Linked DNA regions of Coturnix japonica. Each later gene encodes a partner of the first gene's protein in a complex. Links are inferred from orthologs where the notes say so. Each region holds a gene or a part of one and is shown in the gene's direction. Other genes may lie near its edges.

The links.
Region 2: CHCHD6 (region 1) and APOO share a complex: the UniProt entries of both Homo sapiens proteins name them as parts of the mitochondrial contact site and cristae organizing system (MICOS) complex. The link is inferred for Coturnix japonica from reciprocal best matches to the Homo sapiens genes CHCHD6 and APOO.
Region 3: CHCHD6 (region 1) and IMMT share a complex: the UniProt entries of both Homo sapiens proteins name them as parts of the mitochondrial contact site and cristae organizing system (MICOS) complex. The link is inferred for Coturnix japonica from reciprocal best matches to the Homo sapiens genes CHCHD6 and IMMT.
Region 4: CHCHD6 (region 1) and MICOS13 share a complex: the UniProt entries of both Homo sapiens proteins name them as parts of the mitochondrial contact site and cristae organizing system (MICOS) complex. The link is inferred for Coturnix japonica from reciprocal best matches to the Homo sapiens genes CHCHD6 and MICOS13.

The regions. Positions count from the first base shown.
Region 1 is NC_029527.1:7,383,022-7,390,743, forward strand, and holds the start of CHCHD6 (MICOS complex subunit MIC25), read left to right. Parts: upstream 1-3,638; 5' UTR 3,639-3,724; coding exon 3,725-3,814; intron 3,815-4,658; coding exon 4,659-4,788; intron 4,789-6,154; coding exon 6,155-6,218; intron 6,219-6,633; coding exon 6,634-6,778; intron 6,779-7,722. Other genes in the region: TPRA1 (transmembrane protein adipocyte-associated 1), read left to right, coding at 983-1,217. UniProt on the Homo sapiens protein: Component of the MICOS complex, a large protein complex of the mitochondrial inner membrane that plays crucial roles in the maintenance of crista junctions, inner membrane architecture, and formation of contact sites to the outer membrane.
Region 2 is NC_029516.1:107,431,935-107,439,170, reverse strand, and holds part of APOO (MICOS complex subunit MIC26), read left to right. Parts: intron 1-2,390; coding exon 2,391-2,498; intron 2,499-7,236. UniProt on the Homo sapiens protein: Component of the MICOS complex, a large protein complex of the mitochondrial inner membrane that plays crucial roles in the maintenance of crista junctions, inner membrane architecture, and formation of contact sites to the outer membrane.
Region 3 is NC_029519.1:77,503,603-77,510,838, reverse strand, and holds part of IMMT (MICOS complex subunit MIC60), read left to right. Parts: intron 1-436; coding exon 437-590; intron 591-694; coding exon 695-884; intron 885-1,521; coding exon 1,522-1,642; intron 1,643-2,228; coding exon 2,229-2,309; intron 2,310-2,400; coding exon 2,401-2,502; intron 2,503-2,661; coding exon 2,662-2,798; intron 2,799-3,142; coding exon 3,143-3,246; intron 3,247-3,597; coding exon 3,598-3,733; intron 3,734-4,776; coding exon 4,777-4,906; intron 4,907-6,168; coding exon 6,169-6,183; intron 6,184-7,035; coding exon 7,036-7,236. UniProt on the Homo sapiens protein: Component of the MICOS complex, a large protein complex of the mitochondrial inner membrane that plays crucial roles in the maintenance of crista junctions, inner membrane architecture, and formation of contact sites to the outer membrane.
Region 4 is NC_029543.1:712,887-719,472, forward strand, and holds MICOS13 (MICOS complex subunit MIC13), read left to right. Parts: upstream 1-3,755; 5' UTR 3,756-3,833; coding exon 3,834-3,862; intron 3,863-3,946; coding exon 3,947-4,103; intron 4,104-4,428; coding exon 4,429-4,480; intron 4,481-4,633; coding exon 4,634-4,731; 3' UTR 4,732-4,831; downstream 4,832-6,586. Other genes in the region: CELF5 (CUGBP Elav-like family member 5), read left to right, coding at 1-74, 171-298; HSD11B1L (hydroxysteroid 11-beta-dehydrogenase 1-like protein), read right to left, coding at 1,475-1,655, 1,745-1,910, 2,069-2,162, 2,454-2,545, 2,628-2,739, 2,998-3,128, 3,324-3,411; scaffold attachment factor B1-like, read right to left, coding at 5,153-5,282, 5,474-5,525, 5,601-5,713, 5,887-6,008, 6,430-6,472. UniProt on the Homo sapiens protein: Component of the MICOS complex, a large protein complex of the mitochondrial inner membrane that plays crucial roles in the maintenance of crista junctions, inner membrane architecture, and formation of contact sites to the outer membrane.

The DNA.
Region 1 (7,722 bases):
ATTGTTCTGTGCCAGATTGTTTTCCACCCGTAGAATAAAGGCAATGGCTGTAAAGCCATTTAGGGAGCCAGTGCTTCATTCCTGGCTCGCTGATTTTTTTTTTTTTTTTTTTGTGGCCCTGCACTGGCCACTTCTATCCAAGACTCCCTTGTGTACAAAGTAGAGCCAATAGTTGTATTCCCTTCAGATGCTTCTGTCAGTCACTTCAGTGTCTACATCCTATATGCAAAGTCCTGCTGCTGAAGTCAGTAACTAAATGGTTAGTGAGGGACTGAGTCCTGACAGACTAAGCTGGCTCTGAGTGGGTTTTTAAGAGGCTTTCTTATTAAATAACCCCTTGGCTTGGGGTTCTTATATGAGGGCCTGGTCAATTATTGAAAGCTCTGTCTAGTGTTGATTACTGGGTTGGGGGTGCCACCGTGTGGCCACTCAGGGGAGATGCATGTTGATAGGAAAGTGGTTTATGTGTAAGCTGTACGTTTTATTGTCCGTGGGCAAGAGACATCAATCAGGCTTTAGAATAACTAAGAATAGAGGGTACTCCTAAAATATTGAAATGTTTCTGATGTCTTCTGGAATCAGAACGGTACCTGGAGATAGAAAGTGCTGATTTGCAAGTGTTTGCATTTTGTTTTTCCTGTTGTATACAAATGGGATGAGAAATGGAATCTTTCTGTTTGCTGTGAAGTCCAGTGATGCCTGGATGCTGTAGTTCAGAACTCACAAAGAGGAGAACATGCTCATGACACTGATGTCAGGACTGCTGTTTTTATTTCCCCTCAGTAGCCTAGTCCAGAACTACAGTTAGCATTGTTTCATGGCAGTTATTCCACAGTGACTATATCCAGACTGAAAGCAATGTGAAAAGTTCTTTAATACTTAAATATATGTTGTGTCAGTGCTGCTGAGTTTCAGTTAAGGGTAAGTGGCTGTCATGAGATAATTTGCTTAAATGTTTATTTTAAATCCTGAATGACTCTAGGTCTGAGCCGAAGATCCTCTTCTCCTACAAATGTCAGGTGGATGAACCTGAAGATGTGGATGTGCACCTGCCCCATGCTTATGCTGTTGCCAAGAAGGAAGGAATGGATTCTGGGTTCTACTCAAGCACTCAGATTGATACCACAGCCTACCTGGATGACGTGGCCTCCATGCCGTATCATGTGGGCAGCATCAACAGCATAGACAGCGATCGTTGGAAAGCCATCAATGCCTAAGGCAGGACTTCTCCCTGCACCCGATGCCTCACTTTCCCTTTTAAACTCCCTGATTCTGAGGATGTTAAGATATCCACTGGAAATATGTTCATCGCTATCTGCTGTGGCTTTCCTCTTTTCCTTAGGATTTCTGAAACCTATTGTGGAACTAAGTTGGCAGCCTTTTTGGAAAGAGCATTTCCCGTCACTGCCTGAGAACAATCTAGAACAGTCCTGTTCATAAACCTATAAACACTGAACCTTCCTGATTCTTCGTGTTCCAGATGTGAATGTGACCCAGAAGGACAGGCCTGACTGGTACCTCTTGCTTTTCAATGACTGACAGCACTTATCTGCCAACTAAGGGAATGTCATTTAGAAGCTGTTTATTTGACTGTGTATTCTACACATATGGAGAGAGTTTGGTGGTTTAAACCAAAGTTGGTGTTCCTGGGCTTTCTCAGGCAGCACAGTTGTCTGGATCTTGTCACAACCACAGCATAGGCGGCAATAGCTGTGTCCAAATGATGAAGGTGCTCAGTTGGACTCACCTCTGGTTTCAGCTAATGCTAATGAAAGCTGTGAATTCCAAATGTTAGGAGTTAAAAGGATTGTGTTCTGAGTGTGTAGGAAGGAAAAGAGAGGTGTGGAGAGAAATGAGCTGTCCAGTGTATCCTAGGGTTGTTCTGGGAGGCACAGGCTGGTAGCTTACAGCACTGTGAGCTGACAGAACTATAGGGAGGCAGGACAGGCAGCTGCTGCCCAGCTAAGCTGAAGTAGTTGTGAAACAATCTGGAGGCTGCGCTGCTGTTCATCTGAGCTCGCAGGAACACCTCAATCACAGCACTGAAGCAGGGTGGAGTTTCAAGAACACAGCTTGTACGGTAGGTGTATGTTACATTTGCACTGTGCTTCATGGCTCTGTTGGGGTCAGGGAGAGGGCCGTGCAGGAAGAGGCTGTCTCTGCTTATGAAGGCTTCAGAGATGTTTAGATGCCTGAAGCAGAGCAGAAGTTGATGAATCTGAGCTGGCAGTTTCTAGCGACTGGGAGCTCTCAAACACCACAGGCATCTTAGGATCGAATTGGCTGATGTTCTAGGCTGGGAGGTGGATACTCTGGTACAGCTTCTGCGGTTGTGTCCTCTTCTGTTGCAGTTCAGATCCCCCAGACTTCTACTGGCCATAATAGGCTTTTCATCTTGATACACTTAAAGTACTTACGGGCATGTGAAGTGTGGTTCATTTAAAAACTATCTGGAATTTCTTAGCCTCTTCCACACTGGAATAGGGACTGTTGACAGAGCTGCTTGACGTGCAGTTCCAAGACAGTTTGTTCCAATTCTGGGACTGTTAAGCTGATAACTGCAATAAACTGGTTTCTGAGACAGACTGTGCTTCCCCTGGCTTTGGGGAGGTCAGCTCTAGGGGAACCTACCCGAGTCATTTGGTAGGTGGAGATGTGCTGTAGGTGATAGCAACTTCCCATTAAAAGCAGTAGAAAGAGAGGAAATATGAAACATTTCAGCACTGTGTATCTCTTGCTCCAGCTGTTCCTGAAAAACAATATTGGGGTGAGAGCTCTTGGGGAATCATTGTGCAGCATGGAGGTATCAGTTTAGAATCACAAGTGTGTGCAGGGAAAGCATTTCCCACTTAGGGGAAGAAGCAGTTTGGGTAAGAACACAAAGTTCTGTCAGTTGCTGAAACTATGCAGGCCCCTCACTTATCTTCTTTTTGTTAATGAGCAATGCAGCCTCTCAGTTCTGCAGCCTGAGGACTTTGCCCTGCAGGCTCCTGGGTAGCATTGATACTATTAGTAATATATATAGAGAGGAGTGTGCTGTGCTCCTCCCGTTGCTTGATGTGAACCTGCATCAGCCACATTTTACTTGTCAAAGGGATGGATGATGTGGTGTCCGAATTGCTCCTGTTTTCACTCTGATCCTTTGCAAGTGTGGGGGAAACCTGCAGAGCCTCCCTGGAGTCTGTTGGCCTTGGACAGGGCTGAAAGCTGAATGTCTCAGCAGGTCACCTATGCAGGTGGTCAGTGTGTCCACCCTGTCCTTTGGCAGCAGGACTTTAGTCTGTGTGCTGCTCCTGTGCTGGGCCATGGGCCGACCTTCCTTCTGGTGTATTTCTTTGTATATAAGGCTTTGGGCCGTGTTCACAACGGGCCTTGAGCAGAAGTGTTGTGTGTGTTGGGGGTGTGTGTGTGTATAAAGAGCCTAAATATAGAATAAATGTATATTTTTGTTTGTAAAATAAAAGAATACGGTGAAGTTTGGCATAAACGGTTATACTTTCTTTCTTAAACGACGTGTATTACGGAGAATTAACAAAAATCAATGAGTTTAGCAGGTATTAACGGAGCCTGTTTTCGGAGTTCAATCCACACCATTGGCCGCCTCGGTGCTGTTCGCCAATGGGATCCCGTTATGTTGGCAGGCGCCGGCAGAGGGGAGGAGCTGCTCGGTGCTGCTGGGCGAGGAGGGGGGGTTGAGGCATCCCCAAGGGCCGCCCCGCCGGCAATGGGGGGCAGCGAGAGCAGCCAGGGCGGCAGGAAGGTTTCCTTCGGGCTGGATGAGCGGGACCAAGTCCGGGTGCTGCAGGGCATCAGGGTGAGGCGCTGCGGGGCGGCGGGCCCGGCCGCGGCTTGACTCGGTGGGAGTGCGGCAGCCCCGGGCCGGCCTGTGCCCACAGCGGCTGTATTTCATATTCCTTTGGTCTGTATTCCTTTGGATGCCATTTGTGATGATACACACTGTGTGTGTGCCCGTGGGCTGACCGTGAAGGCTGCGTTCTGTTGGCTTTCACAGCTCCGGGTATCTTTCTATTGGCAGCCCCTTCTCACTATGTTTCTATAGAATGGAATTATTTTGAGTTAACTGCTGCCTTTCAGGTTGGAATTAGGCAGGTGTGACCCTTAGTGTGTCCTTAGGCTGGAAGTTTTATTGCCCATTGATAGAGTATGCATTTGTGTTTCTCAGTGTTGAGGTCACAGCCTGGCTTTAATGGAAATTAAAGATGTAATTGAAAGATGAAAGGTGAAGATGCATTGAAAGATGTAACACAGCTCTGTGTCCTTGTGTGCTACGGCCATCTGCTTGGCAGATGGAAATGACTTCTGTATGGCCTCTAATGCCATCCCTTGCAAGGAGAGCAGCAGAGCACCCTCACTGTGAGGGTGGTCAGGCTTCCTAGTGAGATGATTGGTGCCCAACACCCCTCAGTGTTCAAGAGGCGCTGGGATGATGCCCAGTGATAAAGATAATGCTTTAACTTTTCGTTAGTCCTTGAGTGTTCAGGCAGTTTGATCAGATGTCTTTGGTCCCTTCCAAGAAACAGTTCTGGTTTTGCAGCAGCTTATAAACCAACAAATTAGACGCCTTTATACTGAAATACATGTACATTAAATGGTTAGTTAACTAAATGATTAATTGCTTTCTTATGTGTGTGTTTTAGCTCACTGAAGATGTAGTGAATCGAATGAAAGAATCTCAAAGTAAAAGGGGCAGCCAGAGGTCACCCTATTCATCCAGTGGTACAGCTCCATCTTCAACAGCTGCAGAAGGGAAACCCAAATCTTCTACAGGTACTGCCAGTCTCTGTCAGGTCTATTGATTTGACACCTGTAGGGGAACTGTTAGGCCAGGATTTGATCTGGTGGTGAGCACTTGGTAAAGGGATGCAGCTGGCCCAGGGAGCGCAGGCAAATTGTTTGCACCTGGTCTCCCTATGAGACCAGAAGGGGTGGAGTCCCCCTAGGCTCTCATATAAATGCCAGCCACTGAAGGGAAAGCATCTCTTGGACCTATGCTGCTTCCTGCAAAGGAGTGTGTATAAAGGAGAGCCCCTTCACCAGCTGGGTGAGTTCCAGTCTTCTTTCTGTATATGTCTATTGGCCTACCTGCAAATACTTTATGTGGTGTTGCCAAGAACACATCAGAAGTAATGTTGGTGCTTTGTGAGAAGGACAATATGCTGCTTAGCACTTCTGTTTGTGTTACATAGCATGAACTATCCTGAGAAGAGCTGCTGAAATGCTGTGGTTCTTGTTCTGTTGTTGTGGGACATTAAGGAAGACAACTTGTTTATGTAGATGCTCTTGTTTTGTCTTTAGAATGCCTTGGTTCTCAGATGCATTAAGGAACTTGTGTGACTTTGAGTGTAGAAGTTCAGATAAACACACAATAAGCAAGGCAGTAATTCAGTAATTTTTTAATGTTATCTTTTGTTTCTTGAAACTTGTTTTACTGTCCCTTTTCCATGCAGATGGGAGTATGTGGTGGGGGGGGGGGAGATGCTGCCTTTTGTCCTTTGGAAATAAACTCATTCTTGGAGGGGAAGTGACTAAACACAGGTTATATGACACATCAAGTGAACAGTGAGAACACGATTTCTGAACTTTACTTTCTTTACAGTTAATAAAATGATTTGATTTTATTGGTTTGCAAATATACTTTGTTGATAAACTTTATCAGTATGGATTTAAGGCATACAAACTAACACAAAGTTAATGAACCAGGCCTTTGCTGTTAGAAACTGGTTTGCTGTTAGCCTACATCTTTTCCGAAAGTGGTTTCAATTTTATGGATGAACTCCATTAAATAACTTAATCTCTGTAATTGCAAGGAAAGCAGGAAGACTTAATGAAGCTAGAAGAAACAACTAGAAAGTGGGACTAAAGCTATGCTTATTTTCCAGTATAAAGCAGTGTCTGTGTGTAACATCCTTACTTGGTTCAGTGTGCCTTGTTGAAGGCAGTGCTGACAGTGTTGTCAGTATCTCTTTCTTTCATTAAGTCTATTTCCATCAGATTTAAATTTTCTTGAGACTTGTCTAGGATTGTTATTTATCGTCTTGATGGAATAACATGTATTAAGTATTCTCTTCTTATCAAACAATTTAGGCTGTGTTCTGTATTACAGTTCTTATGGGTTTCTGTTCTTTCTCTCTAGGAATCCAGCCACCAGGTAACTCTGATCAGAAGGCTACAGTTGCGGAGCAGGAACTGTACAGGAGGTGAGTTTAGCTCCTTTTATGCTGTGAGATAGACTGACTCCTTTTACTGTGGTCTGTCCTTTCATCTTGTCCAAAGCAGTATCTATTTATCTAACTAACTACTTTATATCATTGCAACTTTTAGGTGGTAATTAAGTACTTAATAGAGCTAAATAACTGAAATATAAATTTGTATGGGTCTCAGTTTGCTGTTTTTGCCTGACTTGTATGTTTGTGAAAACTGCGGGTCATGCTTGAAGTTTGTTGGACTTTTGAATTACTGCTGATAACAGAGGGACTGTGAGCAGGCTTTGTGCCAAACTGGTTCTGCATTTGTGTTTTTGCCCTTGTCACGGATTGTCCATGCTAAGCCGTAACCCTGTTGCCAGAAGTCAGCTGATCGCCTTCTTTCTGTTTGTCTTTGGCACCCCTATAGGTATGAGCAGGAGCAGGCCCTGGTCCAAGAGGAATTGCTCCGGCTGGCCAAAAGAGAAAGGGAAGCAGCTGGTGAGATGCTGAGTACTGCCCTTCAGCGGGAGTGGAACAGCACTAATGAAGAGAGGAATAGAGCAGCTCAGCTGGTAAGTAACAACAACCTCCACCATATTCCCACGTGGTACAGACTGGAATCACTCTGCTTGAAGGGGTTCATTAAGTGTCACTTGTGTGTTGAGTTTAGAAACTGCTTTAGTCTGAAATACTTGTCATCTCATAACTCTACTCCTTGGCTTACAGTATAGCTGGCAAGCTGCACCTGTTGCCTCTCAGGTAGCAATTCTAAGGCCAGACTTGCAGGAAATGGCATAAGCAAAGACTGTGCTAAGGGCAGCCTGACCTGTGGGAGAAGGAGGATGAATGGTCAGTGTGCTTTGTGTGTATGGGCTTGTTGTCTGAGACGGTGTGTTCTTTTAAACTGGCAAGTGTACGAAACAAATGTTTTAGTATGCACAGGATCAAACTCTGCTGATCTGATCTGTCATAAAACTTCGCTTTGTGCTCCTGGGTTCTGGTTGTACAAGTACACAAATTAATAACAATAAAAAAATCTTGGATCTTTTATCATCCTGGTAACGTCTGATAATGTCTTATGTTGTATTCTATTAAATACTGGTTATTATGCCAATGCTGTACTGTCTGTGCACAATGCAGAGTCTTACTGGAGCTACTACTTCTTCCTGAGCTACAGTGGGATGCAAGGTGAGGCTGTGCTTCGTGCACTGAGGTCACACTGCCTGTGTGTTGAGGATCTTTGTTGAGAGAACTGGGCTAAGAGTAATTCTCTTATCCTAGTGCATACTGAAAAGACAGTTTAGGAAGAGGGGGCAGACTTGAGCAGTATTTGTTGTCTTTGGTTCTGTCCTGCTGGTCTCTTGCTTGAACTTGAACTGAAGAATCTTTGTGAGCGTGTTTTTTCTGTATGCTGAATAGCAATAGGCATGGCTTACCCAGGCATGTGATTTTTGCTGCGAAGCATTTTGAAGTTACAGTTGTAGAATGACTTGTGTTGGAGAGGACCTCAAGGATC
Region 2 (7,236 bases), on another chromosome or scaffold:
ATACGGAAGTTTACTTACTTGTAAACAAACAAAATTGTTTTTCTTCTGAATGTATATCTCTTCCCATGTCCGTTTGATTCTGTAAGGCATAATCAGCTACGCTGACGCAACTGAGAGCATGACACAATTACAGAGACTATAGATTGAAAAAGAGGAGTTGGGTTCAATTGATCCATGTTCACTGCAGAATAGAAGAGGCATGTAAAATTGTACTGTGACTACTTCATTAGCGGTGTACAGCAGAAAAGGCAGCAGATCCTCAGTTTAGATTCTCAGCGTGCAGTTTTGGTAAAGAATAATTCTACTTGATAATCTTGACATACAGCATACAGAATATTCAGTATTATATACTTACAGTCTCGTGTGGAGTTAAAAGATGGAAGTGTGTTCACATGTGTATTTGGCCTTAGGTTATGCTGATGGTGCTACAGCAGGGCAAATATGGCTACTTGTAGCCCAAGGTCACTTTCAAACTACTTCAGAAAACCAGTCAGTCTGACTTTTGAACTTGTTTGTTTACATTTTAGCATGCAAACTTTCTTCCAGTGTTGCACCAAACAGAGGTATTTTAGCGTGTAATAATTTAATGCAAACAAACTGGAAATTACCTTTCAGAAATTAAGAATGGCAGATGACTGTCAGAAAAAAAGAACATGTCCTTTTCTGAAGGAAACTCTGTGTCAGTGCTCAAATGAACACTTAGTACCAGCTGAATGAACTTCTGTACTTACTGTTCCTTTTACTTTCCTGGATTGTAACTGCCACTCCCTAGAGCCATGGTGCTGACTGCAGTACCTGCCTCTTTCCTCTGAAACTACTCCATGAGAAAGAGAGAGGTGTAAAGTACAAGATACAACACAACCTCTAGCGTTCTGCTAACAAGGGGGTGTATCAGATGATTAGCAAGAATTTCTTGGCAGTAATCCTGTTGACCTTGTAACTTGCAGCTTACAGTCTCACTAGAACTGTGTTTCTCAGCACATGTGAACTCCGTGTGGGTTCTGCCTCTTGAGAGGTGTGTGCAATGTTGGAACGCTGACTGTGGTGGAATAACCTATGTGGGCTTCTGTACCTTACTATGAAGTATTTATCCTTGTATGCACGTTGCAGATGGACAGGTTTTTATTTGCACTTCCTAAAATATAATGCAGCACTAAAAAAATCACAATATGAGGTTGGAGTACAGTTTGAAATTTTATGTAAGCTGTAATACAAAGGTGGCAGCATGATCTCTGCCCATATCTGTCATGGTGATGGAGCACAATTGATGTAGCTAATCTTGTTCAATCAGAAGGAGGTCGTTCTTTGTGTGATATGTGCCTAGCAGTAGAACTCAGCATGTGATGTTCTGGATGCTAAAAAGACGCATGTGACTCCAGAGGAGATGGGATGAGTTCATAAGGAGGTGTTCACTGGGCATTGTTACTTACAGGAATTGCCTCTGGCTCAGGGAAACTCTGAGCAGTGCATCGGTAGAGGCTGGAAGAAACTTCAGACAAATCACACTTGCTCTGATCTCATAGTGGTGGTTTTCCAGTTTTGCTATTGAAGAGCAAATGATACCTTCTCATTTCTCCATTTCATACAATTTTTAGTTTAATCCATCTAGTTGGACAAATTGTCTATTTTTGCTTCTGTTTTTATAAGAAAAAGGTACTAATCTGAAAATTACTACTGATGTGTGCCTGGAGCTGTGAAAACCTAAAACTCTTAGATGTTAGGATGCTATGGATCTATCAATGCTATCGTTATTATAGTTCCATATCACATAAGGGGTGGGAATTCTCATATTAGACGTAGGGATTTGTCCTGTTACAGAATTCCCTGTAGGTGTAATATAGCAAACGCTGCCTTTCCTTATCTATCTTCTGTTTTGAGGCTTAATCGCTAATTATTTGTTACAGCCATCTATCAGCAAATCAGGTTTTTCTTCTAAATTGCAAATAAAAAGAGACAAGGGAGCATTCCTACTAGTTTATCAAGACAGTGAAAATGTAAAATTGCAAATTAATATCAAAGTGAGAAAGAATGTTTTGTCTTTAAAGTGAGCATGGACAGTTTAAGAAATAATTTGTGTATATTAAATATATTGAGCATAGATTACTCAGATTATAAAACCTAGAATTGCTTCTGTGCAGCATCATTCCACTGCTTTTCATACAGTTGTATTTCACATAGTCTTCTAACAGCTTTTTCTAGCAAGTTGGCTTTTCTAATTCCCCATGCATTATTTTTCTCAAAGATGTTAATTAGGGCTTTATTCTCTGAGTTTGAGCAGGAAGATGTTCAAGTTCTTGGGTTCTCCTGGGATTTTTTCCACGTGAATGAGAAACACATTAATGTTTCTGAGATTGTTAGACTCATGCTTTCAAATATCTTTTGTTTCAAAGGTTGCTGGTGCCCAGCTGTATGACTGGAGTCTCCAGGGATATATTGCTGTAGAATCTCTTTGGAAGGATAATCCTAAAAAGAGGAGATATGGGAAAAAAGGTGATAAGGTAAGAAGGCTGAGAAACTTGATTTCTGGATTAGGAGAAAATCTACCAGCGTGTTTTTAGACAAAGAAATGATCTTACTTACTCTGACTCAGCTTACATTTCTAAAGACAAAGATTTCATATTATATTTCTAAGCTATGGAAAAAGTACTGGGCTTATTTCAATTTCAGAAAGTGGTTGGAAGTTTAATGATATGTCTATCATTGTTTATTTGTATTAGGTCTGTATGTTGGGACTGGATAGTAATGTCTGATAGAGCAGCATGCCGTGCATCACTATGCTCAGGCAGCTATTCATAAATATTGCACAAAAAAGAAAACCCACAGAATACGAAGGAAGGTGCTGTTTTACTTCAAATGCATTTTGTAGGAAGCAAAGATTCAAAATTAGTGCAGTGTGATTGGTGATATTAGCTGACAATTAGAATTGACTTGTGAAGAAAGGGGAACTCGTTTTGTTGAATCATTACATTATGTAATGTCTAGATCATAATTTATAGGCTGCCTAAAGCTTCTGGAGTTAATTATCGTAATGATGTTTGTTTTTTATCTACTGCACGTTTCCATCAGCCCTCAGGGGCAGGCTGTCCTTGTAGTTGTACCTCTGATATAGATAAAGAAAGTTTATCCACATACATGTGGATGGCTCAGTGAATTGCAGTGTAAGACACTGAATGATTGTGCAGGTTAGTAAAATATGCATGAGGGGCAGCCTGTAAGATTTTCATGTGTTGCTTTAACGGTGGTGTTCTGGGAACAGAAACCAGAAGTACTGTCTGACCACAGCAAGATATTTGCAACCCAGAGTTCTAAGAAGTAAGTGGGATGGACATCAAGAGAAACAGTTTGCAGAGAGACAACTGCACTTGCGAGAGGGTATTGGATATTGGAATGAGTTTCCTGCGTGGGTCTAGGTATAGCGCTGGTTCCAAACAGAATGGGTTGGAGGAATGCTCACCTGTGTTAGCAGTTGCTGAGTTTTTTGAGAGCTGTTGTCAGCTGACTTTTCTTGTGAATAGTCACCTTGTTTTGACTCCTAGGCTCTTCAATTAATGCACCTGTATTACTCTTTGAATAACCAGAGGTTAGTTAATCATATTGTACCTCTCCTAAAACCTTGTCTATCAAAAAATGTCTCAAACAAATAGGCAACGTAAAAATATTTCAGGAAGGCAGATGGACTGAATCAGTAACAGTTATCTGAGCTTTTTATTTTATTGTGTCCTAAGATGTCAAAATTATCAGATTGTTTTTCTATATTCTTTCCCTCTCGATGTAGCAGGCAGCTGGACTTCTTAAGTTCAAGCAAAGTTGTGCTTGAATTCTTATCCTGGTGGTTGTAACTTATTTCCTGAGGCCATGCCAGAGCAAATGATGTTACTTGTTTGTTTTTGTGACATTTGCTCTAGCGTTTCTTTGTTGCTACATGAAGGATCCTTGCAAATAGTTGAACTGTATATGGGTGGCTCTTCTTGGCTTGTGTTAATTTGTTACACAGCCCATGATTTGTTTGATGGTCATAGGCACCACAGCTGTGCATAACTTCATGTTTGTGCAGCAGTAGGTCATTAAAATACATGTGGTATGTTGATTTCCTAAAGGTTTTATGAGGCAGTAAGCTATGCCAAATCGAGGCCATATCACCTACGTTCTGCCAAGAAAGATGAATTCCAGGACTTTTTGCTGCAGTGTTTGAAATGCTGACAGGAGCAAGTCAGTCTGTAGTTCTGAATATGTAATTTGCAGTGCAGCATTCTGGTATCCTGACACTGGCTCATTGAAGGAAGTGGTTATCAGATGAGAAGTGTTCAACTGAAACTATACAGGTACCATAAGCGACAATCTATGCCCATGTTTTTTATTTAAAGAAGGATGAAACGCTTTCTTCAAAAAGGACATGAGGAGTAGTTATTCATCTTCTGCCTATGTTACCTTGATATCAAGGGGACAACTTTCCTATGTCTTCCCCCAGACAAAGAACACAGAGCAAGAAATGTAACCAGCTACTTGGTGGGCCAGGTGTATTTGAAGCATTCTATCTTCTGAATATTTTTTGCTTACTTGATTACTGTCTCACATGAAGGGATCTCACAAAAATCAGTGAAATTACTGTTAACGTTTATCTTACCAAGTAGTCAGTGTTCAGGAAAGGTGACAGTGAAGTTCAAACCTTGTTTATCTTGGTTTGTAGTTTATAGAGAATCATATCTATGATTTTATAGAGTTTTTAGGAGTGATGAATACTGTTTGGAGCTCTTTTGAGTAGCCTTAGGCCATACCAAACTTTCATTACTGTAATTTTGCAATTATGAAGGCTCATGCTCTGCATTGGCTCTGGTTACTCTTTGTTAAGTAATTAGTCTCTTTGCCCAATTAAATCCATGCAAGATCTCCTTCCTCTACGCTTTTCTTCTTGCTTTCCCATTCAGTGTTTGCTGAACTGTGAATTGCAGCTTCTTTTTCTCCTCCCTACAGGATCTCTGTTTAATTCTCCATGAGTTTGGTAACTATAATACCTGCTCTTAGATCAGAGGGCTAAAACAACTATAATGGCTGGAGGATTTTTGTGCAACAGCTTTAAGGGCTGTAGCTCTATATGCGAAAGATGATAACTTCTTTACTGAAAGCTACTTAAACGTCTGTGTTTCAGACCCCCAGTTTAATATATCTGAGCTGTAAGTTTCTTGTTTGTCACTCAGCTCATCTGATGATAGCTGTCATAAAACACAACCTTTTTTGTCCTTCCTCTTTTGTCTCTGGTTTTGCTATTTTTATCCTCTGTACTGTTCTGTAGGGTTGTTAGCTCTCATGCTTCAGTGGTTGCAGTCATGGAGCCCTGTGTTCTTGCACCAAGTCACTTGGACACAGGTTTTATTCCAGCCATGAGCTGAAACATACTGAAGCACAGAAAAATAGTGTGTGCTTTTTCTTACCTTGTTCCAATCAGTAATAACATCTTACACAAGACTGATTCTTTTAGTTTTTCCCCATGCTGTCATTTGTTTATTTTTTAAAACGGCTTCAGAAATTCAGAGAAACTCATACAGCTCATTGTTTGAGTTTCATTCCTGGTCTAGTGATAGAAACTATCTGTAATTTACCAATGCTTTCTGCATATGTCTAAGTACATATGTATGCATGTACAGAACTACACATGCTTAGTTAAGCACAGCTGTTTGAGTATCTTGTTAAGCATCAGCTGGTCACAGAGTGCTTTCAAGCCTAAAGACTGTTCAGCTTTGGGGTGCTCATTTCCTGCTCTTGTACCAAGGGAGCAATGAAAGTGGAAGTTGTGGTGTCGGTGTCTTGGCTGGGTAACTTTACCATGAACACGATAAATGGTCATCATAGCAAACCTAAATTGTGCTTTGAGAGTTTTGAGTCACTTGTGGTTTAAGTATATTTTAGAACAGAGCATGAGCAGCTGACAGATAAATAGGTAGGGGCATTTCCTGTTAAAAAAACATTAACAATTTGGTGGTTTCTTGAGATTGACAGCTACCTGAACTAAATGATAAACATCCGCCTCTGACAGAAAGTACTGCCTGCTGTTATACATTCACTTTTTGTTGTTTGGTAGTAAGACAAAAACAGAGTAGAACTTGAAAAGGCTGCAGTTTCCTTTTGGGCTGGATCCTCAGTTTGGGTTGTGATGAATGTGGGTGTTTGAGAGGTGAAAAACGAAGAATCTACCCTACTATAGGCTGTGCTTTTTAGGGTGACTTAAAATACAGTAACATTTTTTAAAGTGCTCCATATTTCTGAGAGGGCAAATTTCAAGCTCAACTAGAAGTAAGCAGCTGAAAATGTGTTGTTATTGACTGACTGGGAGAGGATGATATCTTTATGCTAAGCAATAAATACCTGGCAAACAAAAGAGACAGAAGAAAGTGCAAATTATGTATCTGTGAGCCTAAAAAGCTTTGTTTTTCTTGTGTAATTCCTTTTCTTTTCTGGGGCCATACTCTATCTTTTGGGAGCCCCACTGCTCCCTCCCCCTTACTTTTATTATTTTCAATTACATATAACGATATAATACATCAATATAATATATCAGTACATAAATATAAATAAATAAATAAATAAATAATTATAATATATAAATATATATATATTAAGAAATATATATATATATATTTCTTTAAATCTTGTGGAATCCTGGTGTATTGAATACAGGAGTGCGTTAGGAAGATTTGTTACAATCATCACACAGTTGAAAATGTCAGTTGCATAACAATACAAAATATTTCCTCTCCTGCTGTGGGATAGAAATCTGATGCATGAACTCTGTTCACCCAGATGTGTTATGAAGTGCTTGTGTTGAGCCAGAAAATAGGAAGATTTTTTGACTATGTGCCTGCTTCTAATTACAAGAAGGCATTGTGCCACGGAGGAGGCTGTCTTTTGGGTCATTGACCTAAACGTGTTTGTTTGCTTCTAATTTGTTTTGGGTGTGACTTGAGGACCTTGGCACTTGGTAAAATTAAGCGTGTTTATATCCTGTGCCAGCTCGGAGGACTTCTTTTTCTGGCTACCTGCTTTAATGCTTTATCAGGCTCACTACTGATGCAGTAAGCACAGGCTACGGTTGGAGTTAAAAGAATTTATTAATTGCTAATTGAGCAAACGTGTTTGTATATGAGGAGTGACGCTTTGGCAGTGGTTTGACTTGAATTAAACAACTCCTGATGGTTCTGATGAAGACAAGCCCTGTGATGAGACCTACTGATCTCATCAGCA
Region 3 (7,236 bases), on another chromosome or scaffold:
CTGCCCAGAGCCACATCCAGCCTGGCTTTGAATTCAAACAAGATTATTTGATGGCCAAAGGGGCCGATGCAGCTTTAAGAAACTACTGCTTAACCAGTTTTTCTGGCAGATCTTCATTTTGAGGTAAAATAGGAGGTAAAAATGTTGGGTAACGTTATCCCCGCTAAATAGAATAGGGTAAAATATCACTCCTCACATGGTAATTTCATTTATAGTATAATGAGATCTCTATCTTGAAAGCGGCTGCGTTGTTCTTGTAGGGAGCTCATAAAGAAACGTGTTTGTGTCTCTTGAATGAGCTGCAGGTCTAAAGGCAGCTCTGGTTTCTGCACTGAGCTGCTGTAGCTCTCAGACCGAGCTGAACTAACATGCATTGGGATGAGTTGAGGCTGAGATGTGCTCAGTGCCTGACTGTGCTCTCCTCCACCCCTCACAGAGCTGCTGGTGCAGGAGGGCATCGCTCCGTCCACCTCGACTGAGCCGTGGATATGCGACCTCGTCGGGGGAGTCCGGGTGCGTTGGAGGGGTGGTTCCTTCCATCCCTTGGTTTGTCCCACACTCTTGGGTTGGTGGCCGCCTTCTGGATCACAGTGGGTGTTCCCAGGTGTAGGCTGGAGGTTTAAAACCTATCAGAGGCTTTATTGTCGTGCAATACGATTTACATCGTTTCTGTTTTATCCCTCTCTCCACGCAGTGTTTCTGTAGGCAAAATCATCGGTGCAAGCGTCTTGTTTGTGGGTGGAGGAGTCGGGGGAACCGTCCTGTACGCCAGCTACGATCCACACTTCAGGGAGAATGTAGAGAAAGCCATTCCCTACTCTGACAAACTGTTTGAGATGGCCCTTGGTCCTGCACCGTACAGTGTGCCCATGCCAAAGAAACCGGTAAGCATCTCCCAATCACCTATTCAGCTGACGGCTGTGTAATGGTGCTGCTCGCATGTTTCCCTTTATCATGGAATCATAGAAGGGCTCAGGTTGGAAGGGACCTCAGGGACCACCGAGTTGCAACCCCCTGCCACATGCAGGGCCACCAGCCTCCACATTTAATACCAGCCCAGGCTGCCCCATCCAACCTGCCCTTGAACACCTCCAGGGATGGGACATCACAGCCTCTCTGGGCAGCTGTTCCAGCACCTCACCACTCTCATAGTACAGAACTTCCCCCTGACATCCAACCTAAATCTTTCCTCCCTCAACTTAAAACCATTTCCCCTTGTCCTGCTATTATCTACCCTTCCAAAGAGTTGACTTTCCTCCTGTTTATAGGCTCCCTTTAGGTACTGGAAGGCTGCAGTGAGGTTACCCTGCAGCAGTTTTCAGCTGCATGTTCTTCACTTGTGATCATGGAGGCTCTTAGTGCCTTCCAGGCACCGAGTAAACTTTAGCATCACACAGACTGCTCAGACTGAAATCCTGATCTGCCCAGTTATGGCTCTGACTCAGATGCTTTTGTTCTTACCTTGTGGCTTTGCACGATGGTTACTGAAAAATGAATACTTTCTTATTTTTGATTCTCAAGATACAACAAGGTCCACTGAAGATCTCATCTGTAGCAGAAGTAATGAAAGAATCCAAACAGCCCGTTCCCAAATCCCACACAAGCAAAACAGAAGCTGTTGCTCCTTCAGAGGAAAAAGAAGGTAACCTTATGGAATGTCACACGGAGAGAAGCAGAAGTGCTAATGTTCTCCTGTACCGTACATCCCACAGCAGATGGAGATGGGCTTTGGGGATGGTTGCAGATGTTTGTGCTGTAGTTTTGTTGAATTAATATTATTGATCATAAGGAAGTTTGCCTAGAAGGGCTTGAGCCATTTTTGCTTAGTTTTCAATTAAGTTTATTGACCTTAGAGTATTTGGAATCTAATATAAATGACTGCACTCCATAGTTCTGCATACAAGGCTCACTTTGGGTGCTGGGCTCTTGAGATATTCTATTTCTTCTTCTTAAGCAACTGCAGTATGCCTTAATTGGGATAATTGCTTGAGCTGCTTGTAAAGCCAGATTAAAAGGAACATAGAGAGTCACAGTTGGCATCTTTGTTCCCTTATCTGTCATGTCAGGTGAAGATCTGCGTGTGTGTAATTAATGCTGTCTCCTTTTCTGTAAATAATAACATGAATGTCCCAATGAAGTTCCTCCAGAGGAAAAACCCAGTGTCTGTTATTTCCCTGTTCTCACTTCAGTGCATGTGCATGTTTCAGTTCTGTAACTGTACTTAACAGCAGGCACAGCTGCAGCACAGATCATCTCTGCAACAGGGGTAGCCGCGTCAGTGCCAGCTCCGGGGATACAGCCTGAAGAAGGTGAAAAAGATTGCACGAATACCACATAGAACATCAAAATCCTGTCGCTTCAAACACATGGATCTGATGCTTAAATAATCTGCTTTTATAGGTAAAGAACATGAGGGTTCCCATGCTATAAAAGAACGATCGCCGGACGAGGTCGCGGCTCGTCTTGCCCAGCAGGACAAAGAGGAGCAAGAGAAGATCGCAGGTGAGCCCATACCTGGAGTTCTGCTACACATGCTGTAAGGGACAAAAGGATTGTTCCCAACCTCTTGTGAGCCACAGAAAATAACGTAAGGAGACACTTGAGATATAATGAATCACTTCAATGATGAGGCTGCAGTTAATTCCAGTATTTTCTTTCCAGCCCTTGCAGCAACACTGGAAGGAGCCCTGAGCTCTACGGCTCGTGTAACACTGCAGGCAATTACTGCACAGGAATCTGCTGTGCAAGCAGTGAATGCGCACTTGCAAATACTGAAGGAGGCAATGGACAACTCGGAGGTAAATTGGGCAGCTGGGGACTTGTGTTCATCGTGTAACTAAGGATAAAGTCTGAGGTTTAATGTTTGTCACAGTTTTACCTGATCTTCCCACTTGGGAAACGTTGTAGGGTTTAATAATAAAGTGCTTCTGCTTTTGACATGTCCCACTTTGTGTAGGACTGCTGCTTTCTGTTGCAGAGGGTATAATGGAGTGGTCAATCACAATGTCAAGGTTCAAAACCACAACAAAAACGATAGAAAGAAGAAATTCTTAAGAGCTTCCAGCTGTGTTGTTATTATCTGATGGGTAATTTTGTACCGTGGGCATTGTGATAACACTAATGATCGATCTGTGCTTGTCAGACTGCTGGGGAGAAGAAATCAGCTCAGTGGCGCACTCTGGAGGAGGCTCTGAAAGATCGAAGGAGGGCAGTGGATGAAGCTGCTGATGTCCTTCTGAAAGCCAAGTGAGTTCTTTGTATCTCCTACCCATACTTAAATACAGTGCTCCTTAGTTCAAGTAAGACTGAAGAAAACAATAACCCATAATCCTTCTAATATCATTTTGGATCATTTGATCATTATTATGCCTATTGTAAGAATTCAATTTGCTGCACTCTGGGTCTGTTGAGTCAATAACATCGTTGGCTTCTCCTAGCTGTGATGTAAAATTAAGTCTTACAGCACTGTTTGTTGGTTCCATTCTTCAGCAGAGCCACTCCTAAGGCTGGCTATTTATTAGATGTGTGCTCATGCATGTATGTGGTTATGCAGTAAGACCTGTATGTGTTATAATCAACAGCTTCATTTCTTTTCAGAGAAGAGTTGGAGAAGACAAAAGGTGTAATTGAGAATGCCAAGAAGGCTCAGATCCCAGGAGCCAAACCTCACATCATTGCTGCAGAGGAAAATCTTCATCATATGATAGTTGACTTGGACAATGTAGTGAAGAAGGTAACACTTCCAGCTGTTCTTCATCATCATTAGAACAAGGACTGATTGGCAGCTTGTGAGACCCCCTTTTTCCACGTCCTTTATAGCAGATCAAGTATTTCTTAGTTTAAATGCTATTTCTAAACACAATTTTCAGCTATAGTCAGTCTTTGAGCTGTGTGTGGTACCAGTGAGTTGTCTTGACAAGGACTTTGCATGAAAAGCCTGAACTCTGTCTTGGAACTCTGCAGCCAGTTTGTTCAGTGTCTGCTCTTTCCTTGGGCAGCTTTCATTTCCTTCTTTCTGATGCTGGACTTGCAGTTCCTTCTGTCTGATGCTGGACTTGCAGTTCCTTCTGTCTGATGCTGGAGTGGAATTAGGAAGATGAGACAAACTATTCAGGGTGCTGATTGGCGTAGTGTCCTCTCACTGAGTGTATCCAGTTGTTCTGGTGGTGGCTCTTGTGCAGGGCATGGGAGACATAGGGTTGGATTGCTGAGATTACTTTTTAACCTTGAAACTTGTTTCTTTGGATCTGGGGCACACCTATAATATTCATCAGGTTGGGGAGGAGTCTGCTGATGACTTTGTGGGTATATCACTTTATGGCTCAGAAAACAGGATGAAAAGTAAAGTTGAAATCATGCCCTTTTGCAGGATAATGGATTGCTCTGATGGAGGAATTTCAGTGGGGAATTTCTCTGAAGTGTGGGAGTACAGAACGCAGTGAGGGTTGGGCAGCTCCCTGCTGGGGCTGTGATGGCTGCATGCTGCTCTGATGGTAGAAAACATTCTGTAATGAAGGTGTAGAGCTGGATATCTCTAAAGGAACATATTGTGTTGGTTTTTTCTGAGCTACAGATTGACTACAGTATTACAGTGTGCGTGTGAAGAAGTGGATCTGTGTAGTTGGGGTAAATAATTACTGTGTATAAGAGGCTTGATGTCACAGGGCAGCTTTTCCCCAAGTGAGGATAAAGATCTCTGCCACTAACTCAGGTTTGATCTCAGATGACTTCAGTCTCCTTGGAAGATAAGCCAGTCTCCTTTTTTGTTTGTTACAGGTTCAGGCAGCACAGTCTGAGGCCAAGATCGTGGCTCAGTATCATGAACTTGTGGCTACGGCAAGAGAGGAGTTTCAGCGAGAACTCGAGAGCATCACCCCCGATGTGCAGCCGGGCTGGAAGGGGCTCAGTAAGTCTGCGGCGATGGCAGTCAATCGTAGAGCAGTTCATAGAGCAGCTGTAACAATGCCTGCTTTCAGGATTCCCTGATTCTGAGCTCCCTGATTCTTTCTAGATAACTGAAAGAGTGAATTCACTGCTCTTTAAATACTTCACTTATCCCAGTGTGTTAGTTCTAAAGGAGAGTGACACAGGAGTTGATCTGGAGTAACAGCCAGTGCTGCACAGAAGCAGTAAATGGCTGCGTGGTGTTTTCCAGCTGCTACAGTTCTTTGCCTGAGGTCTGACATCTGGCACACTCATGTTTTTGAGGTGCTTGGGTTTTTCAGCTGGAGCTCCTTCCTGCTTTCCTTAGAACAGATAAAAGTGAAGTGAGAAATGTGATTCAGAAGTACAGTTAGAATCTTTCTGCCTCAGTAGAGGGATAAATGTATTACTCAGAGTTGTTGGAAGGTTCAGATACCACCACAGTGTGATTGCAGGCAGGCAGGGAAGGAGTCAGGCTTGCAGTTAAATTCTTATGGCTAAAGCAAGTCAGCTCATCCTCTGTGATCCTCTTTCTTAATGGTACTTAATGCTCTAGAAATGTGAATGTTAGTCCACAAACTCATTTTCAAAGCTAAATGAAAACACCAGGCCTGTGTAACACATGGGGTTTTTGTTCTGTAAGAAGTTGGGAGAACTTACTAGGTTGAGAAACTGCAGTTTGCTGTGCTGTCTCTCTTATGTTCAATCTTCTGGGATATTAGTTCTGAAGAAAATGGGATTTGGCATCTGGAGATGGAGCTACCATTTCTAATGCAGGATAAGGGGAGGACATCCTGAGTATTGTGAGCACTGCACTGTTCTGAGAGAGGGAACATCCCGGCAGCTTCCAGGCGTTCAGTTTCACACCAGTGTGACCCTACTTAGTGTACAGGACTGACTCGATAGTGACTCTCACTGCTACCTGGGAATTTGTCTCTTACCCAACTGCTCGTTTGTAAGGACCTGGAAATTCTCAGTGTCCTGTTGCACTTCTTTACTTGTATTTCTCGCTTTGACTGAACCTAAAGGTTCATCTGTGGGTTTCCAAAGGCAGCTGTAGTGGTGGGGATGTTTGGGTTACATCTTGCTTGTAACAAGGAGGGATCTCCGGAGTCTGTTCTTGAACTCCTGCAGCCTTGGATCACTCTAGACCAGAAGCTTTTAGTTGTCCATTGTACTATTGCACGACTGACTGCTGTAGTGAATGTGCATTAACTTCTCCAACCTCTCCTCTTTCTGTTGCAGACATAACTGATCTAGGTGAGTTCCTGTAACTTTTTCTGGTCTTGTGAATATTCTCTCTTTCCTCTTTGTCCTTTTTGATGTTTGTGTGGTGCACCACTTTAATTACATGCACTATCAGCAAAGCAGTGAAAAATATCCCTGCAATATTTCAGACTGGGCTGTGCTTTGGGATCCTTGCCGCTAGTTCTGTATGTGCTGCTTAAACCAGACTTTGTCTAGCAGCTCTCACTTGCCAGGTGAGTGTGGTTTGCATTGGAAAGCCACGCTTCCACTTGCTTTGTGTATTTCAGCCAGTCACCAGCTGCTGCTGAGATCCCAATGGGAAACAGAAATGAATCCATCCTAATCAACAGTGGTTAATTCTAACTGACAGTGGTTTGCTTCAACTTTGGGCCTGATTGAGGCCGGCTCCTGCTGATACCACCAGCACATCTGGGTGCTCTGAGCTGGGTCACCAAACTGAGGGACTGAATTTGGATTTAATCTTCATGATTGATTTCCTCTCTGATTCTGAGGTTGATTTTTCTGAGCTCCTTGGTGGTGCTGCTCAGCTTTTGGGTCAGACCTGCTGCACCAGATAACAAATAGCAACATCTGACTGTGAACATTTGGCCTGGAGAGCTGCTGAACAGCATGAATTGTAGATGTGAATGATTCAAATGAACTGGAGTAATTTTTCTCCCAAGTGCTGGGAAGTTCTTATAGATTTGGTTCGGAAAGGAGCATTTGGGTGGGCTTTACCACCAATCAGTGTCTCTTAAAACGTGCTCACAGGTCAACCATGTATGGAGCCCTGGAGCTCTCCAGGGGTAGGAGGTGGGGTAGCTTCTCTGCAGCTCTTTCTAATAGCGCCTTGTTGTTTTTTAGCTGGGCAGTTATCAACAGACGACTTGAATTCCCTGATTGCACACGCGCATCGTCGCATCGACCAGCTGAACAAGGAGCTGGCTGAGCAGAGGGTCAGGGAGCAGCAGCACATCGAGTTGGCCCTGGAGAAGCAAAAACTTGAAGATAAAAAGGCACTCGAGGCAGCTGTGGCAAAAGCACTGGAGCATCACAAAAGTGAGA
Region 4 (6,586 bases), on another chromosome or scaffold:
GTTCCTGCCTTTTGGCAATGTCATCTCCTCCAAAGTGTTCGTGGATCGCGCCACCAACCAGAGCAAGTGCTTTGGTGAGTGCTGCTGCTGAAGCACAACACGGCCGGGCTGTACGTGCACTGAGCACCCCCCAGTGCTGCTCCTATCGCTGCCCGTGTCCTCCCCTTCAGGTTTTGTGAGCTTCGACAACCCATCCAGTGCACAAACTGCCATCCAGGCCATGAACGGCTTCCAGATCGGCATGAAACGTTTGAAGGTCCAACTGAAGCGACCCAAGGATGCCAACCATCCCTACTGACAGCAGCCAGCGAGCACGAGTCACCTTTGCAGCACAGGTAAAGGCCGTGGCTGCTCCGTGGGGTGGGCACGGAGCTGGGGATGGGTTGGATGATCAGGGGGGTGTATGGGGCAGCCAGGGGGTGACCCGGGGGTTGGGATCTGGGTAACAAAGTGTGTCTGCAGCCAAAGTGGGGACTGTTCTCCCTCCTTCCTCTCTTTGCAGTGACTCACAGGACCAAACTTTCCCATTCAGACCCCGACTCGTTGCTGGAGGGGCTGGAATTGCGGAGTTTAACTCTGCTGCGGTGTCTGCCCAGTGGGCGCTGCAAACAGACCTGAACATTTAGAGGATGCGGATGGACACGGAGCAGGGAGGGCTCAACTCCCGGCTCAGCATCGGCACCACGAGGAGGAGGAGGAGGAGGAGAACTGTGCAGCTCCGCCCCGGGCTCAGCCACCGAGTTCAGCACCAGCTGCTTTTTGCTCGCTGTGTTTCACCCTCCCAAGGGCTCCTGCGGACCGAACTCCTGCACTTTGCTGGGCTGAAAGCACAGGAACCTTTTTCCCTGCAGGCCCCGTGGTGCCGCCTCCCATTGCTCCTCATTGTAACAGGACCCTGGGCAGCAAAGCGAGAGGAGGATGATGAGGATGATGAGGAGCTGCTGGAGCCGCCCGGGCTGTGCAGGACCCGGCGCTGTGCAGGCGCTGCCGGTTCCCGGCCCAGTGGGATGTTCCCCGTTGGGTTCTGCTGGTGCCGCCATCGCTGCGGTTCTTCCTTCCACCTGGGGCCGGTTCCGCAGCATGAAGCTCTGCCCCGATCCCGGCCGGGGGGGGGGGACGTTGGGGGGAACCGTGTGCGATGTGGGATGGGGGTGGGGGGGTCGGGGCTGCAGCCCCCAACCCAGAGCGGGGGGTTGTTGTGTCTGTTAGTCCATGTTTACTGACTGTAAAGACCATTTTGATACTCCATGGCCGCTCTCGGCACCATGTGTTTATTTCCGCTACAACCGGATCCAACATGACTGCGACCGGGACGAGGAACGGGAAGGACCGGCGGGTTGGACGGGGCGGTGCAGGCTGCTCTAACAAGCCGCCCCTTGGATTAATAAACGTTTTTCTCCCTCGGTCCCCAGCTGCCCCCGCGTCCGCTGCCTGCGGTTGGACACGCCGCGCTCTGTCCGGTGTTTCCGCCGGTTCAGTGGCTGCTGTAGTTGTAGAAGCTTTGCAGCACACGCGGGTTGGGCAGCAGCACCCACAGACCGTGAACGTGGCGCAGCCACCACGGGTAGAACAGCTCCGGGACGCGGGAACAGCCCCCGCGGATGATGGACAGCGCCGCGTCGGACGCGGGGGACGCGGACAGGAAAACACGGCCACTATGGGACAACGGGCGTCACGGCACCGAACACACATAGACACGTATAGATACACGTATATACACGTATATATACGTATATACACATACCGGGTCTTCTCCAGCGCCGTGTCGGTGTCGATGAGGCCCAGCACACACAGTGTGATGGACACGTTCTTCCTCTGCATCATCAGCTCGTGCCGCAGGGACCCAAAGAATCCATCCAGAGCGAACTTGGTGGCTGAGTAGGACGTGGTGAATGGGGTGGGGATCTTCCCTGGGAGATACAACGGGCGGTGGGGAATGAACGGCAACGGAGAAACAGACACGGCCCTGACCCACCCCCTGCAGCTGGATGGAGCCCTATGGATGGAGCCCTATGGATGGAGCCCTATGGATGGAGCCCTAAGGACATCGGTGCAGCCACACACTGACCTGAGAGGGAAGAAACCACCACCACTGAGCCCTGGTTCCTCTCCAGGGCCGGCAGAGCGGCTGATGCCAGAGCAACGTAACTAAAGAAATTGACCTGGAGGAGGAGGGGGAGGATGGAGACAGAGAGAAAATGCTTCGAGTTCAGTGAGAGCTGAAAGAAACAGAGCAGAGCTGAGAGGGAGAGTGGGGTGAGAATGGGAACGACAGGAGGAAAGGAAGGTTAAGTCAGCACAACACTGAGGTGAGTAGGGGAGGCTCCAAAGTATCAGCCTAGAAACACACACACGGTTGCCCTCGGCTGCAGGCAGAGCTCTGAATCTGCCTTCGAGCCCCTCCAGGTTGTCCCAGGAGCAGCAGAATCACAAGAACTGCTGGGAATCCTCACCTGCATGAGCCAGCGGCTGTGCTCCACATCCCCGCCCCACATCTCAAACGGGGAAGTGCCGATATGGTTCAGCACGAGGTAGTCCAGCCCTCCTGCGGGCACAGACAGCAGTCAGTAAATACAGGGGTAAATACAGCAGATATTTGGCTGTGCTGCCATTCTTGTCCCGCTTACCCAGTTTTTGGACAGCGAACTGAACCACCCTGTCGGGCTCTGAAGGTGAAGACATGTCAGCTGGGAGGTAGAAGACTTTCTTTGCTCCGAGGGTCAGACATTTCTCCATCACCTGCGAAAACAGCGCTGTGCCAATGGCTCAATGTGAGGTGGGGGGGAGGAGCAGCGATAAGGAGCAACATCGGGCTGCGGTGCTGCCCCCTGGTGGGAGAAACACGCGCTGCAACAGCGCTGCTGGGCGACAGCAACGGGGGAACCCAGCACAGGGGAACCCACATGGGGTCAGTGCAGGGGATGGCAGCACAAAACAGCCACAAAAGCCCGAAGCCCAAAGCCCGAGTCCCCGCCGTTCTGTTCCCTCCTCCCTCACCTCCCGCAGCGCCGCCTCCCTCCTGGCGGTCAGCACCATCTGAGCCCCATAGGCCGCATAGCGATAAGCCAACTGCTCCCCGATCCCGGCGCTGGCTCCGGTCAGAAGCACGCGGGCACCGGAAAGGAGCTCTGAGAACGGGACACACGGACACAGATACAGACACACAGACGGACACACGGACACAAGTGTGCGGGGAAACGGGGCACGAAGCGGCGGGTGGGGGCGGATGGAGCCGCTGCTGCAGCCGGGGCCGGTTGTGGCCGCGCTCACAGCGGGGGCTGCGTGTGACTGAGCGGCCGTTACCGAGTGTCGGACCGTGATACCTGCGTGGAACGGGTCGTCCCTGCAGCGCAAACACAGCAGCGCAGCCAGGAGCCCCGCGGCACAAAACAGCTTCGTGATGGGAACCATCGTGTGCGGGACGGGACGGGGCGGGACGGGAACGAGCTGCGGGAACGGAACGGAACGGGATCAGTGATGGGGGACGGGGGGAGTCCGAGCGGAACGGGGCGGGATGGAGGCGATAGAACGGGCTGCCCCCCCACAACGGGAAGGTGTCGGACCGGGTCAGGCCTCATCACCCCGTTATCTCGCTCATCTCCCATCATGTCGCCGCTCACAGCGCCACGTTCAGCGGGTGCGGCCCCCACTCCCCGCCCTGCGGCCCCCAGCCCCCTCACTGCCCGCCCCGACCCCTCACCCCAAGATGGCGGCGGCCGCAGCTTCCTACGTGCGCTCGTTGCCGTGGTAACGGTTGAGAAGGAAGTGGTTCTCCACTCTTCCGGTCACGTGAGGCTCCCGGCGGCCCTCGCGGCGCTGCCCTTGGTGCCGTCATGGCCGCCCGCATCGCGCCGCTCATCCGGTCAGTGACCGCGGTCAGACCCGGGATGGGAGGGACGTAACGGCGGGACCGAACCGAACCGAGTCACTGCTTTGGTCCCTGCAGGTTCGCCATCAAGGGAGGCCTGGCCGGAGCCGCCGTGTACGTGTCGTACGATCAGGGGCTGCTGGGCAGCGGGACCGAGGGGGCAGAGGCCTTAAAACGGGCCCGGGAAGCGCTACCGGCTGCGGTGAGAGAATGGAGCGGACACGTGGGATGGGAGGTGAGAGGGAGATAAGGGAGATAAGGGGAGATAAGGGGGGAGATAAGGGGGGGATAAGGAGCAGCATCGGGTCTGTTTGGACCCACAGTGACAGGGAGACCCTGAAGGAACCAGCAGCTTTTCCATATCGGATCCTATTATAAGCTGTCACGTATTTCCCCTCTGCTTTTACTGCAGCTCAGAGCCCAGAGCTCACTGATGCCCATTGACTCTCATTGATTCTCATTGATGCTCATTGATGTAGCACCAAACCCCTTTGGGCTCCGTGATCCCCCTGCCCCCCATTGCTGCCCTTCTTTCTTTCTTTCTTTCTTTCTCTCTGCAGCTCCCACCCGTTCCAACCTTGGATTTCTCCCCCTCGGATTCCTGGAATAAAGGTAAAATCCCATTTCATTATTTGTGGGAAGGGGCCAGTGCTGCAGCTTGTCATAGAACCACACACTGGCCGGGGTTGGGGTTGGTGCCACAAATCAACCTGCCATGTGCCTCCATTGCTGCTGTGCTGTGCTGACTGTCCATGTCCCTTACAGGGGTGCACACGCTGATGTCTGCCCTGTCGGTGGCTCCCAGCAGAGCGTGTGAATACACGGCTCAGGGCTGGAACTACCTCAAGGATCTCGTCAAGTGAGCTGAGCACATCCTCTGTCCCGCTCTCATTCTGTCCGTCCCGTGCTGCTCCCACAGCTCAGCCACAAGGGCTGCAATAAAAGACTTTGAAGTTCTGGTTTCATTGGGGTTGGTTTTGACAAATAGCCCCCATTGCTCCATGCCTTCATAGCAGTAGGTGCCTCAGAGACGACTGCAGCCGTGAACTGTAAACTGTTTTTTTTTTTATTTATGGAAAATGGAATGCTTCATTAACAAACAGTTTTAAATGAGGATATGAACAACACGTTACAAAACAAATGAGTTCACATTGGATCGAGTGACGTCGTATGGCAGCAGCTTAAAAAAGAAATTCCACTTACAGTGACCCACGAGCTCCAAGGGCCGGACACCCCAGGGACAAACCAACTGCAGTTGCCACGTAGCGTTAGAAATTAAAACATTCAGTAGCGACGGTTGAAGCGAGGGTCGTTGGGTCGGCTCGCTCGCTCCTGGCCGGCAAATCCCTCCCCTTGCATCCCCCCTCCGTGCATCAGCTGACTTTGGTTCCCTCCTTGCATGAACCCTCCTCGCCTGCAAAGTGGGGCAGATGGTTTGGGGTTGGTTCTCTCCAATGAAGCACAGGAATATTCTGTCATCCCTTGACATTTCAGTAACAAATTGTGTAACTGATAATCCCCTAAAATTCTCACTTAAATGCAAGGGACTCACCCTGAAAGGAAATGGAAAGCAAAGAAATGCTCTGCTCTTTTTAAGCTTCTTACCCTGACATGCCTCCACGGTGCATCACGTGGCCAGGTCTCCCTCTACCTCCACCTATAAAAGAGTGAGAGTGATTCCTCTGTGCCCACAGGAGCCGTTTTGCTTTGTGTCCATGCAGGGCAGCTTTACCTTGCCATCTCTCGTGATCCCGTCCCATCATCCCTCCATCCACGCTGCTCTGCCATGAACGCTCTTGGTGCCCTTCAAATTTCCTCCCGTGGTCCCCCCAGTCGCGGCCATCCCTGCAGGAAGAGCCTGAGTTACATCTTTGACACCTGGCACTGCTGCAGTGCAGGAGTGAGCTGGAAGAGCCACTGGTGTGCAGGGCAGGGAACGGGCTGAGGAGGGAGGTGTGTGAAAAAGAATCACGTCAAAAAGTGCATTTCCAATATTCACAATCTGCACAAGAACTGACCGTGATGGGGGGGGGATCCCTCTGCTCTCACTCATCCTCCTGTCGGAGCCGTAGCTGCCCCAGCTCTCCCGGGAGTCCCGTGAGTGGCGCTCGGGGCCTCCATGGCGCTCATCTGGGTAATGCTGCAAGGCAAAGACACGTGTGTGAGCGCACAGAACCAGCTCCATCTTTATTTCTTCCTGTTGATCTCTGTGATATTCCTCCCTGCCCAGTTTCTCTCACAATCCCACAGCTCAGCCAGCAGTAAAAGCCACCTCTCACTGCCAGCCCCTCAGGCCACAAGAGCACACCAACACCGACTGAGTTTTGCCACCTTACAGAGTTAATATTATGTTACTTGTGTCTTCTCTGAACAACCTCTCTTACCCCCCCACCTCTCTGACACACTTGTTTGCTGTGTACCACAGTAAATGTACCTGACTTTTATAGCAAGGCAATCTTGTCACTGATAGATACTCCTAGCACTATAATTTTAATTTGAAACTACAGCAAACCAGGCTGTCAGAGTTAAGACAGTTCTACAGCTTTATAAAATCAACTCACTTGTCCATCGCGATCTCCCATCATCGTCCTTGATCCATCCCTCCTACAGACAATTAAAACCAGTGGTTGGAAAACACGCTGCAGTTATTACCGTATCTATATAACAGACAGAAAATCCTCTTTCCATGTACTGCCAGCATTGCCTACAAGAGCCACA